Arabidopsis thaliana: one gene and its partner. The protein of the gene in region 2 interacts with the protein of the main gene of each other region in a pairwise test. Each region holds a gene or a part of one and is shown on either strand. Other genes may lie near its edges.

What was found.
Region 1: the proteins of AT4G30780 (region 2) and AT3G55240 interact in a two-hybrid assay, tested with the Arabidopsis thaliana proteins (one large-scale study listed by BioGRID).

The regions. Positions count from the first base shown.
Region 1 is NC_003074.8:20,472,816-20,477,222, forward strand, and holds AT3G55240 (Plant protein 1589 of unknown function), read right to left. Parts: upstream 2,518-4,407; 5' UTR 1,891-2,517; coding exon 1,855-1,890; intron 1,732-1,854; coding exon 1,626-1,731; intron 1,207-1,625; coding exon 1,061-1,206; 3' UTR 520-1,060; downstream 1-519.
Region 2 is NC_003075.7:14,988,189-14,993,683, reverse strand, and holds AT4G30780 (ATP-dependent DNA helicase), read right to left. Parts: upstream 3,399-5,495; 5' UTR 3,162-3,398; coding exon 3,021-3,161; intron 2,848-3,020; coding exon 2,533-2,847; intron 2,449-2,532; coding exon 2,275-2,448; intron 2,192-2,274; coding exon 2,085-2,191; intron 1,999-2,084; coding exon 1,697-1,998; intron 1,560-1,696; coding exon 829-1,559; 3' UTR 599-828; downstream 1-598. Other genes in the region: AT4G30790 (autophagy-like protein), read left to right, coding at 1-301.

The DNA of each region.
Region 1 (4,407 bases), on a different chromosome or scaffold from region 2:
TGGTCTATATTGTGTTGTGCACGTTTACTGTACTGAAAAAAAGAAAGTTAAATGACAATCTTTGTCTTTAATTCTTTATATTCAAAACTCTCTGTTTTTTGGCAAATACATACCTTTTGCATTTCAACCGGTCTATTTATTCGTTTGTATATACTATATACTCTCGAAATTCCATTTTTATATCAAGTTAACGTAAGAATAAATCCTTTTTATAATTTTTTGTTTACTTACCAACAAAAAGAAAGAATTATTACATAGGAGCCATGTAGTCTAGATTTACGTGGGCTGGAAATTGAAACGTGTTACTACTCTTGTGAGTAGTCACTCACTTAACAACGCATGTTAAGTGAGAGTTTTCTTATGAACTTTGACCCAAAAAGACATTTCTGCACAAGGTATAACAAATTAACAACGTTCAAGTTATGGGCTGATCATAGGATCGGACACATTTTGACCACTTAATCGCAAATTAATTGGATATTGTTCAAGAACTTTTTCTCCATGTTATTGTTTTTGTTTAATTAATGTAAATTTTCAATTTGAAGAAATTTCTATTAAAAACAAAAATGGCTGCATAGACGTTCCCCAAAAAAAAAACAGCCGATCATGGACCAAAAAACAGCTGATCAACGTTTTTACTGATCTGGCTAAAATCTGGACTTTTGGGTTCCGAAACTTGCAAGCATATGGAAACCATGATACAAAATTTCCAAGAGTGCTAAAGCCTTTTAAGGTGACCAAAACCCGAAATAAATAGTTTATTTGAAAATATATACACACGATACATTCAATTAAAACACCACACCATCGATCCATGTATGAGCTAGCGTCCGTTTCATTATATATAATTAAACAGAGGCAATATTATGTGGACCACGTACGTATAACGTACCAAAAAGAGTGTCATCACTCCTTTTTTTGCTGTCTTGCTTGTTGGACCGATGCTAAGATGAAAAAACGATTTACTTATAAACATGCATGCGTCAGGGATAAATCGTTTTCATGAGATTCATATATATAAACTATAAGGTTTTCGAAATCTAACGATCGAACATCGCGATCAGTCGTCGGATTCTTTAGATGAATCCGAGATAATCTTCTGGATCATCTGGTTTGTCTCTTCCTCCGACATTTGCTCTTGTTTGCTTTGCCTCTCCTCATACGCCTTGAAGAATTCCTTGTTCTCTTTCTCCAGCTCCTTCCACACTGTCATTTATTTTGTTCCAATTCATTAATATTATGATAACAAAATATATAGGCCGGATATATATGTTGCAAGGATTTTTATATTTTCTTTGGCTTTTTTTGTATATGTATAAGTTCTAGTCGCCAGGTAGTCAAGTCAGTGTATATAATCATTAATTTGATTATGCATGAGCACTTATATGAATAGAAATATTGAAGATCGATCCATCACGCTAGATCCTATCTGTAGCTAATTAAGTACATATTACATGATCAAATTCTAAATGATGGTATCATAATATGATGATAGCTCCATAATTTATACATATAATTAATCCCGTTAGAGAGTACATAGGTACAGATATGTTTGTGTGTTTATAAGGATTACGGAAAGGTAAAAAGTATTAAAAAAGAGGAGAGAGAGAGAGAGGAATTAAAACCAGTAGAGGTGATGACAGGAGTGATGTTTGCATGCTTAGAGAGAGCTTCCACACACTCTTCTTTGCTCATATGGAAGATCAAACATTTCTCTATCATGTGCTGCACCTATACATACATACACACATCCAAAGATATTGAGGTACATACGTAAAAGATAAATAGATAAGATCATTCATAGAATCGACGGCCGGAGAAGTACATGAGGTTCTTGAATCAATATAATATTACCATGTGAATGTAAGAAGCAGAAGAAGAATCTGCCATTGTTAATGGAAACCCTAGAATTAACACCCAAACTTAAAAGAGAGTCTTCTTTCTAAAAGCCACTTGTGGAGATAAAGACAGCCATATATAGAAGAAGATCACGCAAAAAGATGAAGAAGGAGACAAAAGAGTGAATAGTTGAAAGATGATATGCATGCATGGGGCCAGAAGCCCCACGTGGGAGATTGATCATAATTGGCTGAGAAAGGATTAGAGGAGATTTGTAAAATCACTCTTTCTCTCTTCTCCCTTCGTTTTTTCATTTCCATCTCACGCATCCTCCACGTGATCCATGGCCCCTCTCTCTCTATACATTTTCTGCAAAAAAACACTTAGTCGTGTTTTAATTTCCATAATCTTCTAGAAATTAAATCTATACCTATTTGTTAATGTTTTAACTTATATAAGAAAATGAAAGTTAGTTGTATTGGCTCTAAGAGCACATGATTACATAAAAGGAGAGTAAACGATAAATTCGGAATTTTAAAGGATTGATACTTTAAAAAATGGCAAATAAAATAATGACTTCAACAATTGTAACTCACCGAATTCCTTTTGAAACAATATAAAACCATAGTGCGAAATATACAAGGCATATAATCATAAGTCTTAACACTTATGTTAAGGCTTACCATTAATAAAGAAAAGATAACTGTTGTAACAAACATATCAAATGTATATCTACGATGACTACCGTTGTGTGACCATCGATTTGACAATTGAAATATCATAAGAAGACGTATTAGAGGCCTAGGTCGCCCCTGAACATCGGTACGTCTACTCTTAAGGTGAGGCAAGAGAGGCATGAACTTGTTTTCCTTTTTCTTTTTCTTTTTGTTAAAGGAATGTTGAACTTGTTTAAATAGGGAATACCATGCATATAAAATATATAACTGGTAAGTTGATTGATAAGAACATTTGAAATCACTTGAGCACTTTAAGAAAAGGAGAAGTGAAGAAATATGCGGATGAGATCCAAACGTGGTTTGCATCGAGCAACATTAAGGATAGAAAATCTTTGTAATTTGTTTTTTAAAAAGTTTGCATTTTGCATTCACATGTATAAATGTTTCTTTTTTCTTTGAATATAATCTAGATTCAAAAAAGTTATAATATATATATATATATATATATATATATATATATATTGTAACTACATATTATGAGTATGAGATAATCCATATACATTAGTAAACCTCTGTCGTAAAAAGAACCAACGTAATTTACACGACATGTTATAGATAAATGTTTGCTACTGAATTTTTCAGTTCTGTCATATATGTATGAGCCTCCTCCTAATTAAGTCCTAACTCTTAACCATGCATACCAACATGTTTATTAATATTAAGACCGGTAAAAGAAACCCAGAAATTATCATGTACTTGTTAATGTAGCATAAAAGACAAAATCCCACTCCATCTCATAAATGATAATATTGATATGGATTAGTGGAACCTATTACATCTAATAAACATTACATCTGACGTAAGTTACACAGTTGATTTTGTTTTTTTATAATTAGTTTTTTGAAGTTACGCTATTGAAATTTCTGTCTAATGATTAACTTAGTTCTTTTTCTTCTGAAATTTTTGTTATTTATGAATGACACAAACCCCCGAAAAAGTTGATTACACCAACCAAATGTCGTCGATCTCTTCCAGATAATATTCATAATTTAATCATCTACGTAATTGACTCCTCAAAGTATTAATTTGGGTATAGTCGTACCACCATGACAAGTGTAGTATACGTTACAATAATGGACGGCCAAAAAAAAGGCAAAGTGATCATCAATAGTTTTTTGGTTGGGTAAGGGGACGCGGGAGATTAAAGTTTTTGATTCTAAACCAATAGGACGATGACATGTCACGTATAACAATCCACATTGAGATCAAATAATCGCAAATGGTACAACCATCTGAGTGACGTGGCGCAAATGGACATGAGAGAGAGTGAGAGAATCTACAAAGGTTACGTAAAGAAGTGAGAGACAAACACATTGTGGGTGTTTTGTCGAAATCAAAGGTTTCAGAAGGATCCATCAAATTCAGACATTAAATAAAACTACACATATTCCTCATCATGTGGACCTCTCAATTTGAGTCCTGAAACAGCAACTATTCCCTCGAATCAAATTCAAACCCTATTCATGATCACTTTCTCTCTCATTCCCTCTCCTCGTCAACAAGATTACAAACCAAGACGCCTATTCTCTCTCATCCACTTATTTCTTTTACCTAAGATACTTCCTTATCCAGCTCTTAAGATCATGCTATCAAAGTTCATTCGAATCCGTATGAGTGATTATGTAGTTATAATGAGCGTATATTTCATTTATAAGGAATTTGAAAACGGTTTATGTGTTACAAGAAAATAGTGTATGTATTGTAACGAGTAACGTATATATTACATAAAAATTACTACGGAGTTTACTCTATTTTCTTCTGTCTGTTCATTGTTCTATTTTCTCTGTGTTCATACTTATATTCTTTTGGCTTAGAGATAATCATATACGTA
Region 2 (5,495 bases):
GGCATTGTTCACAGATCATCTCCCAAGCCGGCCTACATACATTGTTGGACAGATTGTCCACATAGAGCGCCAAATAGTGAAACTGCCATCACAACTTTCAGCTTCTGCTTCTCCTGAGGCGGGTAAGACACATCATCTCTGCTCAGACCAGGGCTCGAGAACTCTGGCATCAAGTTCAATCTCAACATCAACTTCAGCAACAACAACATCAAACCCTTATGGTCTCTCTTCAGGATGTGAATACTTCATAGTGACAATAGCAATGCTTCCTGACACTGCTATTCATCAACAAGCTTCCTGATCCTTTTGCTTGTTCCTAAGGCAGCAGATAGACGTGATGGAAGAAACCCCCTCCCCCCAAAAAAGAACAAAAAATGTAAATACTTTGAATTCAAATAACACAATCTAAAACCAGACAGCCCCTTTATATGATTTGTGGGTTTCATTTGTCTCTTCTTTAACTTTCTTTTATTTTCATATCTTTCTTCTTTATGTACAGCTGATGATCACTGATCTTAGTTTAATCTTTTCTCCTTGTATTGTACATACTCTGCTATAATTTGAATGCTGTAATAAAAAGATTACTAAATATTACGAGAAAATAAAAAAGTTTTAGGATAAATAATGGAATCTTTTGCCTCTGCCAACTTTGGTTTATATTGGGAATAATATACAGAAATTAATCATCAAAACATGTTTCTTCAAATCCCTGTGGGGGTTGTAGTTACCAAGTGATAATTTTGATTTACAAGAAAAAAAAAACAGAAAAGCTACTAGTCCAGGTTCCTATACTTGCCAAATCCAGAAAAGAAAGGCGGTATCTATAAATTATCTATTATATGCATCACCATCTTCTTCTGAAATGTTGGACAAGAACTTTGGCAAGGATGTGATCCGGGGGAGGTGTAATAGCAAATCGCTGAATGAGTCTTTCCTTAACATACCCTGTGGTTTGCTGCTAGAAGCTGTATCAAGAACTCTGTTGTTGTTGTTGTTGTTGTTGTTGTTGTCAGAAACAATTCCCTTGGGTTCAGACTTCAATCCAACCGACATTTCGGTATTGAGCTGTGAGTTTGCAGCGACGTTGGGATCCTTGTACAAGAGGTTGAATAAAGAGTTAACCCTTGGCATGAGAGACTTCTCATCTGGTGCCTCGAACTGGATATTATCACTTAGCAACTGCTGTTTCATGATCTCAAATTTCTCCATATGTTCCGGATGACTTCCACCAGCAGAATCAGAGAGAAGTCCAACGAAATCGCTCACTGACATAGATTGGTGTAGTCCAGGTACTTTTATCTGATCTGAATCAGTTATGTTTCTTGAATCAGATAAATATGCAACGAAATCACTAACTGACATAGATTGGTGTAGTCCATCTACGTCGTCAGCCAGATTCAAATCCGTTGTGTTTTTTGTATCACAGAGAACCGCAAGGAAATCACTCAGTGACATAGATTGGTGTATTCCAGGTGCTTCGATCTGACCACAATCTGTTCTGTTTCTTGAATTGACTGCTTCAGAACCCCCAATTCCTTCATTTGCACGAGCATCTATCACTAGAGATGAACGAAGCAAACAAACAGAAATATAAATCCACAATCCTAATCAGGTTCAACAAAAGTGAAAATGAAAAATTATATTCTAATAACGAGTTATGAAAGCAACTAGAATGAGCGAGCAGTCATCATAATACCTGAGCTGGGTGATGGTGCTTCATGAGACAGATACATATGCTCAGATGATGACTGAGCCCCAACAGGAGATGCTAAATTCTGAGTCCCAGAGATCGAAGGACCTGTACTAAGATTCAAATTCCCAAAAGGATGGCCTTTTGATTCACTTGGATCCTCAAAAATAGATTGCCGTGCATCAAAGTAGGGAGAGTCAATAGCTATCTCCGGCTGTCGGCTTAGATGGAACAGACGATGATCACATTGAACGAGCTTTTCAAAATGTTTGTTCATTATCCCTTGAGCACATTGCAGAAAATGCTGCCTAACAGATCACAGGGAGACTATCGTTAGCTGAAGCTAGGACATCACCAAATTTATTCAGAAAAAATTTACATGAAATGCCTGTACCTGTTCATGCTGGCTTGGCCATCAGTGAAATCTGATGTCGCCTGCCACAAGGTATGCTTTCTAGGCTGTGGGTTTGTTTCCCGGAAAAATAAGGGCTGTCTAGCAAGCTGAAACATAAAGAGTCAAATCATTAAAGTTGAACAAGAGTGATATGTTGAGCAAAAGAAAAGAACATGAGTGAATGTTATACCACGAGAGTCAAAGTTCCAGGTCCGTCTTCAGGACAGTTTGCCTTCAAAGCCATAATATCTGACCACTGGATCTCGATTTTACTCTTAAGACCTTGTTCCAACACTTCCCAAACAAGTTTGTGTTTAGCAAAGTAACACTTTGCCACCAAATCACCTTCATACCTCGATTTATACTGCACAAAAAAAGAAACCAAGTCAAGTCAGATTTTGAAACCACCATGAAAACATATCAAAACGAAACATTTCGCAGGACTCACCTCCCACTGCCCGATCTTCAAAAGCGAAGCAGGAAAGTTAGAAGCTTTCAGCTTCTCAATACTTCCTGGCGCCAAAGTCGGTCCAACTGATGCAGCAGCAGCAATAGTTTTACTTTCTCTCTTAAGACCAGAGCCAAGTGCACCAGCTTTCAACGTTTCAGCTGCTTTAGGATCACCACAATGCGTTATCTTCATCTGAATCAACTCCAACAAAGATGGACTCTTCTTAAGACTCAATCCAAGAGGACTCGGCTCATCAAGCGGGTTATACTTAGCTGGTGCCATTGTCGATGAGCTTGTCCCAGGACTCCATAACTAAATTCAATGCAACAATCAATAATTAAAAAAAATACATCACCAAACAATTCACAACCAGCTAAATATAAAACCATCACTGCATGCTAAGAATTGCTATTGAATTATCGCAGAAACTGAATTAGATCAGCTCATCTGAGAAGAAAAAAACAAAAGGAGAGAAATAAACAAACCCTAGATCGTTTGTTGAGAGGACCATGCTCTTCTTCTAAATCATCTTCAGCAATCTCCAATTTCACCGGTAGCTCATCTCGGCACCTGGCCGCCGATTCAGACTCCGGTCTTAAACCTCCAGATTTCCTCATTTCCACCATCCCCCGAAAAAACAAACCTTTCCTTCTCAAAAACTCAAATTCAGACAAAATTCGGATAACCCACAAACGAAATCACGAAATTATTCCACAAAAGGATTTATTTATCTGGAACGCGAAAGAGAATCAAAAGCAAACCCTAGAAATCAGAGTATAAAACATTTACGGGATCTCTCTCTTTGATTGTGTAAAAAAAGGATTCTCCTGGCGGCTATCGACGCGCGTATACCGCGATTTCACCGACACGCGCTATCGTTATTTTGACTCCGAATGCTGCTGAAATTCCCAAATTAGCCACCATGTTATGCCTATGGAAAGAGGGCTAAACTTGTCATTTCTTATGTTTATTAAATATTTTAGTTAATTCGCTGGCGAACAACCAGTAGTTCTTGATTTATAGGGTGTAGGGTCCCACAATTTTTTTTATGACGGCTACAGATAGAGTATTTGCCACGTGTTACTCGTCTTCCTTTTGCCTTTAATTAACTAGGGAGGAGACACGCGCGTTGGTGGTTTGTTTTTGGTTTTGTTAGTATGTAATTATAACTTCGATTTTTTTTACTGATCTTTGATTAAAAGGTGAATATCTTTGTTATTTGCTAATCTTATTTTTTGATTTCTACATTTTTGTAATCTATGTATAGTTTTACATTTTTTTTTCATATTGTTACCAGTTATATGCTAGAATTTATAGGACAATAGACCAAACTTACTATCTTGTAAGAATATTTTTTAGAGTTATATATATCTAAGCAATGCATTTGTTACATTGGTCTTGTTTTTATATATTTTATTTTAAATTAAAAATACAATGGAAATCTCTCTCTCTCTCTCGTATTAAGCGGTTGCTGCAGAGGATAGCGAAGAACAGAGACTAACGACGAAGTTATTTTACACATCGTTGCCATTGTTAATTTTGGCCCAATATGAACCCGCCCATTTGTTTTTTCTCTTTGTGTCTCTGTTAAAATCTTAGAAACTACTCTTTGGTTTTGGGAAGATTTCACTTTTCAACGTCTCTTCGCGAATTAGCCAAAAAGAGTTGGATTATAACAATATTAACATTGAAAGTACGATATGCTTAGATAATTAATTAAAAGTTTGATTTTATTGTAAATATAAATTTCCTTACAACAGCAAGGAAAGACACACATTAAAGCAAAAGAAATAAGAGTAATAACTTTGTTTTGAGTCTTTGTGATAGTTCACTGCTCAAACATTATAGGGAATTTTTTAAAAACAGTTTCCAACTCTCTAAATGTTTTGTTTAAGTTATACCATAAAAATAAACTTAAACATTTGTTTGTAGAAAAAACATTTCTCACATGTGTTGTCCAAATCTCTTGGATGGCACACGTCGGGGGGTTTCATGTTGCGAAGTGATATCATGTACAATCTTTTTCTCGCCACTCTAATCCCATTTAGTGAAGTTTTGATTTGTTTCCAACACGTTTCAGCCATGGTGGTGTCTTTAGCCCATTCAAGTTGGCTCATATAGGTTTTTCCCTCTTCAGTCCTTCCTCTACATAATAATAGCATGACATACATGTAGATTGCTGGCCTCCGTTAGCTGCTATGCCAATATGGTGGAGACCAACGTCACAATGATCAAGGTTAAAGTACCATATTATACCTTTTATGTAGTGAGCTTAGTTTTTCTATAAATAGAGAGGCATGGAAAAAAGGAGGAAGAAATCCATATTAAAACGTCTTCAAGCTCCTCAGCTCGTTCTCTAGCTCCTCAGCTCGTCCTCAAGGTACTCAGATCGCCATCAAGCTCCTCAGCTCGTCCTCAATCTCCTTAGCTCGTTCTCAAGCTCCTCTGCTCGTCCTCAAGCTACTCAGCTCGTCCTCAAGTTCCTCAGCTCGTCTTCAAGCTCCACAGCTCGTCATCAAGCTCCTCAGCTGGTCCTCAAGCTCCTCAGCTCGTCTTTAAGCTCTACAGCTCGTCTTTAAGTTCTTCAGATCGTCTTCAAGCTCCACATGACTCAACGACCATCTCCTCGCCTAGCTGTCAGCTAGTCAGTTCGTCCAATTCCTCACCTAGTCAGCAGCTCGTCCCTCAAGTTAACTCATCTATCTCCTCGCCTAGCTGTCAGTTCGTCCATTGACTACACAGTCCGCCTATCTCGTCTCCCAGCTCGTCTAGATTTTCACCAGACAACTCGATTTGTCCGACTCGTCTCTCTACTACATTTCGTCGAGCTTGGCCCCTGGCTACCAGCTCGTCACTCAAATACTCAGTTCGTCTAACTCGTTGTCTATCAACCAGTTCGCCTCGTAACTAAGTTCGTCCAGCTCTTCGCCTACCTGCCAGCTCGTCACCAACCTGCCACC